Drosophila melanogaster: one gene and its partner. Changing the gene in region 1 together with any one later gene gives a genetic interaction. Each region holds a gene or a part of one and is shown on either strand. Other genes may lie near its edges.

Region 1 (4,834 bases):
ATGGTATACAAAAATAATAGTAAATACAATAATAAACATAAAAAAAATATACAGAATTGTGATTTTTGTTGATTTCAGTCAGAAGACCGCAACGCAGTGAAGAAGACATTTGCGTATTTTTCTTTCGAAATTTCTGTGCACACAAACGACGCATTCAAAGTGTAAACACCAAACATATCATTGCAATCCATTAGTTTAAAGCCTTTGATTACAAATATACCAATTATTTTAAATGGGATAAAACCAGTTTTAATGGCATAAATTCTTTAAAATATATGTCTATATACATATCATTGAAACATGCACAGTTGTATATACTTTACATATATGTAGTACAATATACTTGCTTTAGTATGTCCTTTTACTCTACGATTAAGGGGTTTAAATACTTTTATTATTCTTCTGTCTGGTTTTAAATATCCATTCTATAAATTCTATAAAAAAATAGGTAATTTTGCGCTGAGCTAAAAATTATAACTCCAGGTAGTCGGGGAACAGAAGAGTGAAAGGTAGGGGACGATGTGTCAATTGCATATCCAGGTAGACATAATAAAGCCCGATAGTTAGGAAAAAAAAGCAACGGAAATTCGGGGGAATCAGAAAAAATATGAGATTTCCATTTCGGTGCAGATGTGCATACGAAAATTTTGACCGATAACAACACATGATCCTTACACTAAAAGTAGTTCAACATTATTAAGGTAGATACATTTTTTAAATTAAAGTTATCAATAAATAAAAGCCCTTTAACTAGGACTTGTACTAGCAAAATATTAATATTTTTATTAATTTCAGCAAACGTTTATTTTAACAATTGATAATTAAATTGGTAGTATCGTACCACACACAAATTTATAATTGACTTTTTAGCACACTCACCTTTGCGTTTTCTCACAATCTAACGATACAAGCATTTGCACATATCAGCACAATGACAAAACGGCAATTGTTAAAAATCCAATAAATAAAAATTCGTTCACTTTAGATCACGACTCGAAGAACCACAATTACAGCACGCGAAAAAATCTCCAGTTCGCTGTTGGAAGACAGCAGTTTTACTATTCTGGTGAACCGATCGTCACAGGAGCGATGACTTGAATATTCTGAGGGAATTCCGGAGGGACAGTTTGTTTCGACTGAACAAACATTTTCTTTTTATTTTATTTGTATATTCGGAATTCGAGTGAATAATTCAGTTCAAATTCAGATTTGGTAATTGAAACATTATGTCTTGACAAGACTTTAAATACACTACCAAAATTATCACTTGTAATGGGGCTGGTGAGTGGTAATTTTAACCACAAAAAATATTAAAATCCTAGCAAGTATTTTTGGATTTTTTTTATAGAAAGACACCAGAGAAAGCCTATATGGCGTTTAACAACTCATTTTCAAATGCTTTATTTCAATCGTAGATCGTGCGGGTTAAAACCATGGTCATTGTATTCAGGTATGATATGATATGAGCACTAAAATATATATTTCTTTTAAAAAAGTTGTTGAACATAAAGAAGTCTTAACAAAGTGAAAACTAGTCACGATCGCAACACGAACATAAATAGCTAAACTTGCCACTAGCCGCCAGATCACAAATCTTCCCGCATTAAGGAGTTAAAAAACAACCTAAGTAGAAAAAAAAACCAAATTGGTCTGGCTTATAGGTATTCATAAAATTTTATAAATACATATAAATGCACATATGCTACTCAACAACATAAAAATCGACTCTCTTGCCCACTATCTCTCTTCTTAATGTTTTTATTGTATTTTTTTTTGGGATATTTACTTTCGATTATTTGCTAAATTAATTCTTAGCACCAACAATAATTTTACCATCATTTTTATTATCGGTTTATTAAAATTTATATATTTTAAGATTAATCGTTCATATAAAAAAATTCAGAGCCCGTCAAGCCCTCCCTACAAAGGCTCTGGAATAAGTCTAGTGTCTTTGCTCCCTCTCTGTCAAATCACCTAAAAAGAAGCTGGCAAAAACTCCAGACAAAAAGACATCACGAAATTGTTTTTCTGTATACTACAAGTGTATACGAATATGTTCTTAAATCGTTGTTTCCAAAATTAAAAATGTATGTATATATTGATGGTCAATTACCTGTATTTCGAGTAAAAGTTCCTGCTTCTTGCGTCGCAGCTCAATCAGCAGTTTTTGCTGCTCCGGTGTAAGTTCTGCAAGAACGAGATGCGAATCAATAATAAATTCATATACTTGTTTCTGGGCATTTTGTAAATTGTATCGCAACACCAACAGTAAAAATAAAAAACACCAGAGCAGCATTCCAGGCACACGCGCCCAACACACATACACACGTGCATACACGAGCTGTTTGCGATGCGATGAAAGCATCTTGTAGGCTACGTCACTAGCTTAGGCCGATAAACAATTTTCACTTGTCGAAACCACAATGGATTGCTAATTGTGCAAATTGGCTTATTAGCGTTACCAAAGCTCTTCGGACTTAATTCTGACGAAGGCCAAAAACGAGAACGCAATGTACATATGTACATAATATACATACATATGTGCACTAACATTTCACCTAGCACACAAGTCTATACATACAAATGTTGCTTGTTGCTTCTCTTATTTTGTAGTTGTGGGTATCCCAATTTGTGATCTTAATAAAATTTTATCAATACAAAGATTCGTATTCTGTTCATGCTAGGCTATATCCTTCGGGCCAGCAAAAGTATCTGCTGTTTACCTGGCATTGAGAATTCACTGCGCCCCTTTGATATGGCACCGTACGATCTGTTGTCGAAATTGTCCATTGCGCTAATCATCGCGGAGCTACTGAGCTACTACACACACTCTCGCGCACACGACACACACTCTAGTTGTACATTTTTCACCAGCAGTTGGCTAATTTTTAAGGCTTTTCATTGAACAATCAAAGACGAACGGATAATAAACAAATCAACACCAAAAAAATTCTATCGCCATTTTCTTTCAGCTCTCCACTAGGGATGTGCTGAATTCAGCTATCGGTTGAGTAAACAACTGAAAAATAACAAGTGCATGCTGACTTAAGCTGGGTGTTACGCGAGCTCTGTGTGGCCACTTTTAAAATATCCTGATGCCACTGCATCTTGTAACCAAACGTAAGAACTTTTTAATCAGTAGAACTAAAAAAATTAGGGCTAATTATTTACTTGCAACAATACATTAAATATTTTTAGGGGTACACTTTTTCAGAGATTAGAGCAGACCTTATCTATTTCAAGACAAATAGCTTGAAAAGCTGTAAAACAACTTTGTTACATCCATTATGGTGTGATTTGCGGGAATCGGCTATTACCATTTCGAAAATTGTTTGTTACAAGTTAAAAACATAAACTTAAAGTTTTGGACGTACATAAAAATATAACATTAAAACAACCTTGTTATAAAAAAATACAATACCACCAATACTTACTGTCCATTTTAAATCTGTTAAAAAATTCACTGAACGAATACGTCTTTCGTCATAACTCCATTTAAAATATCGTCAGGAAATTTACACATCATTTCGTTTTTTTAACGGCACAAACACCTCGGACTTGGTGGCAACGCTGCCAACATATGTGTGCACTGGCATCGATAATTTTTACATCCCTATTTTGAACCGCAGAATTCTAGAAAATTCCACTCGCTGGCCATAGTAATTGTCCGAATTAGTTTAAGCTAAGACTGCCGGATCAAAAGTAAACCAACATCTTCCATCTTTTCATAAAATTGAAGACAGTTTCATACAATTCTACAGTAAGAAAGCGATGGCCAAGTGGGGAGAAGGAGATCCGCGCTGGATTGTGGAGGAGCGGCCCGACGCCACCAACGTGAACAACTGGCACTGGACGGAAAAGAACGCCACGCCATGGTCCAAGGACCGCCTGCATCAGCTTTTTCAGGATTTCAAAATAGGCGAGTATATAAGAATTTGTAGTAGTGTAGAACATACATTTTAGGTATATCCTAACCTAAAAGTAAACTTCTCAAAACGCAGGGCAAAGCGACATTGAGTGTGCCGTGGACTCCGTGGACAAATGCTCCGGGGAGGCCACCGTGAACAATCGCAAGGGCAAGCTCATATTTTTCTACGAGTGGGAGCTGGTGCTCAAGTGGTCTGGAAAGCTCCTAAAGAACAGCAAGCTGATCCACAAGGGCAAGTTAACCATTCCCAATCTCTCCGAGGAGAACGAACTAGCCGACGTAGAGATCACGGTGACAATCGACGAGTCCAACGACGAGTCGGAGACCCTGAAACAGTTCATGTACAACGTGGGACGAGACCGCGTGCGGCAGCAACTGGCTTCCTACATCCGAGAGTTGAAGGAGGAGTACTCCAAGAACCTTATCCTACCAAAGAAGGGCGACGAGGCCGGAGCGGGAAATACTGTGGCGAATTTTAAGGATGCCAACAATACCCGTAATGCAGCCCAAAATATCGCTTTAAACTCCTCGGTGGCGGCTCCTAGGCTGAAGAACTCTGGCATCGGCTGTAAACTGGACGTTCGCACTCTCTCGATGACCGAAGAATTTCACTGCAGCGCCAATGACCTTTACAACGCTCTCACAAAGCCAGAAATGGTCACTGCCTTTACGAGGGCACCTGCCAAAGTAGATGCCGTGCGCGGTGGAGAGTAAGTTTTTGTCCCTGGTCGTTTTATTTTACCATCACATCAGGACCGTTTGTGTCGTCATTTAGTAATCTTGTTATGAATAACCATAAATTTCGCCCCTCGCCCTTGTCTTCACTTCTTTATGGTAAGTAATCTTTTGTCTTTTATTGTAGATTTATTCTTTACGGAGGCAATGTGCTCGGAAAATTCGAAGAGC
Region 2 (4,638 bases), about 21 Mb from region 1:
TTCCACTTCCAGCTCGAGGCCTTCATCCGCCTCCTCTTCTTCTTCATCACCCGAATCAACGTCTTGATTTTCTTCCTGCTGCTCCTCATCTTGGTTATCAGCTTCCTCCTGATCCTCGCCTTCTTCGACATCTGAAAATTTTTCATCGGAGCTAGACGAATGTTCATCGTCGCTGCATTCCTCTTCACTGACGGGTTCTATATAAGGAAAAGCATTCTCGTAGTGCTCATCGAAGTAATCGTAGGCGTGGCACAACTCGTTGGAGTAACCAGAGATGGCTGCATTCACTTGGGAGACCAGGGAATCACGCTGGTTCTGCAAGAATATTATTTTTAGCATAAATCGGAAAAAGATATCTCAAGCAACGAACCTTTTTCAGTCTCGACAGCACTTTAGCCAGAGCAGATTCCGCCGTTTCCTCCTTCAGCCATGTGAGGATGACCTGTATGCGCTTCTGCTGGAGCTTTAGTTTGCGACTTCGTCCTGCTTTGCCCATTCCCGCAGCAAAAAAGTTCTTGAAGGCACTGCGGGCAATATAGTCATTGCCCAGGAGGGCGGCAAAAAGGGGTAGCTTCTCGGGACTCAGAGTTCCTCGTCCGCAGAGATGGGACACCCGGTAGATGCAGCAGTCGAGGTACTTGTAGGTCTTGGAACTGCCTTTTGTACTGGCTGTCAGCCCTGTGGTTTGAATGCCAGTCACAATCTTGTTGGCCCTGGTGCGCTTCTTCACATTCTTGGCCTCGCAGTGACGTAGATCTCGACTGTCCTTCTGGTTGCTGCTGTTCTTGTCCTTCACCTGCTTGGTGAGAACCTGGGGTACATGGAATCGCTTAGTATATGCTGGAATCCAAATAACTTATGCCTTACCTTAACAGTCAGCGTGATCAGCGGGATGTACTTGACGTTGTGGATGTAGAAATCCGAGTCGTAGGAGAGCACTGGGCAGTTAAGTTTCCTGGCCAGAGCAGCCAACTCGTCGTCCGCCTCAAAGACGCACCTCATCACCGGGACTCCGCAGTCGCGCACAGCGTCCACGAAAACCTCCTTGAGGTGCAGCGGGAACAGCGTGATGGATGCATTGGGGTTTATCTTCTTGATCACGGAAATCTTGTTGCGCAGCCGGGTGCTAACGGTCCTCAGCTTGCGCTCCTCGTACCCGCCGTCCATGAGCACATAGGGCCGAATGTTGCACTCGGCCAGAACCTGGAAGAACTGCACCACGGCGCGGTAGAAGTCGTCGTAGTCGCCGCCGAAGGCGGAGTAGCTCCCGGTGACATCCTTGTACAGATTGCAGCTCAAGTTGTCGCCATCGATGACCAGCGCCGTGGAGTGCAGCTCGTGCGGCTTAAGGTAGATCTCCGCGCGCTGCGCTATGTAACTGGTCAGGCCGCGGACTCCCATTTTCCCGGCGCTTGCCTATTTTCCCAATTTTCTATTTACCTATTTTGCACAAACTTTAAAAGCGTGCTAATAGTGATGTCAGTTTGCAGTGCGATACTATCGATGTACATATCGATTCTTTAGCGTGGCCGTTCGCTGCCGTTTGGTATATATGAGCGATTAGTTTGGTATCTAGGGTATTTCCCGCAGCCGGATGGTATATTCCGGGGATGGCGCCGCGGTCACACTCTGTCCCGACAATTCCAACCCGACGCTTGTCTGCTCTCCACCCGCGCATCAAACGTCGAAAAATCGTAACGTCGCGAGTGCTACGCGGTGGCCAGGAGAAAAATTCGCCAGCAATAGCAACACTTGTACCGAAAATCTAAAGGAAACTGGGAAATGTACTAGCACAAACACAGCGAGTGCAGTGGAAACCGAAATCGCCATTGAATCGAAGAGCGCGTGCATATATACGGGTTCCGTTGGTTCCGTTCCGTTTCTTGTCGCTTTTCTTGCACACACTTTACCACTTTACCTTTGCGTCTCTCGTTTCGTGCGTGCGTGTGTGTGTGCGCGGAGTGTGGTGTGCGTGCGTGTGTGTTGTTTTTGTGTGTTCGTTTAACTAAAGCACAGGTAGAAGGAAAAGCAGCGGAAAAAAGAAAACCATGGGCGAAATATGCATATGAAATTAAGTAAATACAAGGCGACAGCAGCAGAAAACATCCAGTAGCAACGAGAAACAACAACAACAATAACACACGTTAATAACTCAGCTTTGTGCGTCTTTCGTCTGCGCTTCACATAGTATTATTTTTCTCTTGGATTTTCCACACAAAAACACCATGAGTGAGCGAGCGAGAGCGACGATCGTGATCACCGTGTCGTGAATGAATTTTTGTCAGTGTGTGCGAGGCGTGCTCTACGCACACACACACGTACGTAAACAACACAACCACACACGGCCCATCATCGATCACCAATCACCTGTGTGTGTGTGTGCGGCATTTAATAAATAATTGTGTGCAAATAAATGTTCCAAAAGGAAATTGTTAAGCCAAACCAGCAAAAAACGTAAATCAACCGTGCGATAATTCGTCCTAGAGTTGAAAAAAAAAGACGGTTCAAAAGCAAGTGCGTGTGTGCAGAGTTCTTCTGGTGTCTTGGGAGCTTCGTTTTACGGATACGAAACATATATAACTTCCCTCTTTGCCGAAAAAGGTGAGTTCAAAATCAGGGAAAAATCCCTTTCCCATTGGCCAAGGCCGTTCCGGGAAATCTGCGAGTGGTCTTGGCCCACGTTTCCTGTCTTCCGCACATTTTCACACGTCCTGCAATTGCAATTTTTTCCGATTTCCCAACTCTGCACCTCCTGTATGTTCGGCGATTCCCACGCCTCTTTTTTTCGGGGCAGGTATTCGCAGGTAGCGGAAAGAGGAAAAACCCTCGGGAAAGCCGATAAACTAGAGAAAACCTCTGTTGGTGGGCCGAAAAAACCAGAAAAAATAGAAGAATTGAAATGTTTTCCCTGGCTGCTGAAACAGAGAAAATCGGGCGAAATTAGGCACCCGCTGATTCCAGAAAATTGCTCGTATAATAGAAACATCTCACTGGGGGAGAAATAAATTATCGTTATTATCATCTGCAGTTGCAATTTGGCACAATTTCGATATGACTGTGCTCCCATTTGCCCGGCGATTATGTAATTTTCGCCGCTGTGCTCGAGAATCAGGTTCATTTTCCATATGAAAAAGGGGGCTTTGCTGCAGACATTGCATATATGCCGACGATCTGGCGACCACCGACAGTTGCCAGCAATTTCCGGCGCTTTTTGGCAACTGGAAATCGAGCACAAAAGTTCATCCCAGGGCTTAGAGAGCCGCAAAAGGCGTAGCCATCCATATTCACCCCATCCCAAACGCATTTCCCAATGTGGTTTATAGTTTTCCTACAGCTGTTGCGACTGCGATTTTAACGATTTTTACTGGTAATCCGGGGAGGAAGTGAAGTTCATAGCGGTTCGACCAGTTGATACCTCTTAATAAACTGTTTGTAGGGCATTTCTGAAAAGGAAATATTCCAAAGCGAGATTTGGTTAGTCTCAATCCTTAGAACAGCATTGCTCACTTCCTTACACAAGTGCATACTACCCTCGCATACCCTGTAATCAGTGGGCACCATAAAAAGAGTTTGAATTTCAAATAAAATCCACTCTCCGGCACACACACAAGTCCACTGGGGAGCAGCTGCTGTGTGTCTCTTTGTGCTTGGTCTCAAATGACACTTGCCAGCGCTGCTGCTGCATATAATTCCGAGTTCTGGGGAATTTCCTAGTAGGAAGTGCAGGGGCCACAGCGAAAACACCAGCAAGAGTCGCACTTGATGATTGTCTTGCCACGGCTATTGCCGTCCCACTCTGGAAACGTAAATAGAGAGGCCCGATAAAGAGCGGTCTCGAACTTCCCCCAGTTGTGTTGCCTCTAACCCAACTGAAACTGAGTGGAATCGAGGTTTTCTGGCGGCATAAAATTTGATAGCAATTAAGATATTTGTTAGAACTGTTTCTAATGTCACATGTGCTGCGTGTAGGAGTCTCATCCTGCACTATCTTGTTTTTCGCACTTGCCCCGTTCCCATTTCCCGGCTGGTACTCCAGTTACTTGCCGCAATTGACCAATTAAACAATTGTCTTTGATTAAATGTGCAAATTTGTCTAATGTTCTGCACTGCGCGTATGTGCAAAGCGGATGTGCCCGCTTAAAGCTGCGCTTAAATTGCCCGCGTAATTTGTCACTGATCTCACTTTCTCAATTGGCGATCTCTGATTTCTGAGATTCCTGATCTCTGCCTGGCCAATTAGGCGTCATTATGCGGCAGGCAAGAAGGCACCGTTAGATGGAGCCATTGCAACAGTGGCCAGAATAATAACAGCGACTAGGAAATAATGGCTAATGGCCTATACCTTTGCCCATCTAATGCTTCTTGACCTACAAGCCTCCACAGGCCTCTCGCGTTTCCTGCCCGCTTTCATTTACTGTTAATTATTGTTTAGAAAAGCGCGGGGGCGGGGGCCAATAATAATAAGAAGAAGAAAAAGCAGCAGCATTGGCCAATAAAAGCTTGCAAACAATTTCGAATTTCCAAATGGTTTGAAATGCAGCCCAGCTGGCAACAGAGGAAAAGAGGCAGCCAAATCAACCGAAAGGCAACACGGGGCCATAACAACAATCTTGCTCGCACATTCATAATAGGCGAAAC

What was found. A genetic interaction does not mean that the proteins touch.
Region 2: of step (region 1) and S, changing one enhances a phenotype caused by changing the other (phenotypic enhancement), as found in Drosophila melanogaster (one study listed by BioGRID).

Annotation. Positions count from the first base shown.
Region 1 is NT_033779.5:21,754,441-21,759,274, forward strand, and holds the start of step (steppke), read right to left. Parts: upstream 3,027-4,834; 5' UTR 2,803-3,026; coding exon of another isoform or gene 2,724-2,802; intron 2,188-2,723; coding exon of another isoform or gene 2,114-2,187; intron 1-2,113. Other genes in the region: CG1416 (uncharacterized protein), read left to right, coding at 3,772-3,919, 4,002-4,638, 4,791-4,834.
Region 2 is NT_033779.5:1,074,798-1,079,435, reverse strand, and holds the start of S (star), read left to right. Parts: upstream 1-1,620; 5' UTR 1,621-2,601; intron 2,602-4,638. Other genes in the region: ast (asteroid), read right to left, coding at 1-315, 371-811, 868-1,401.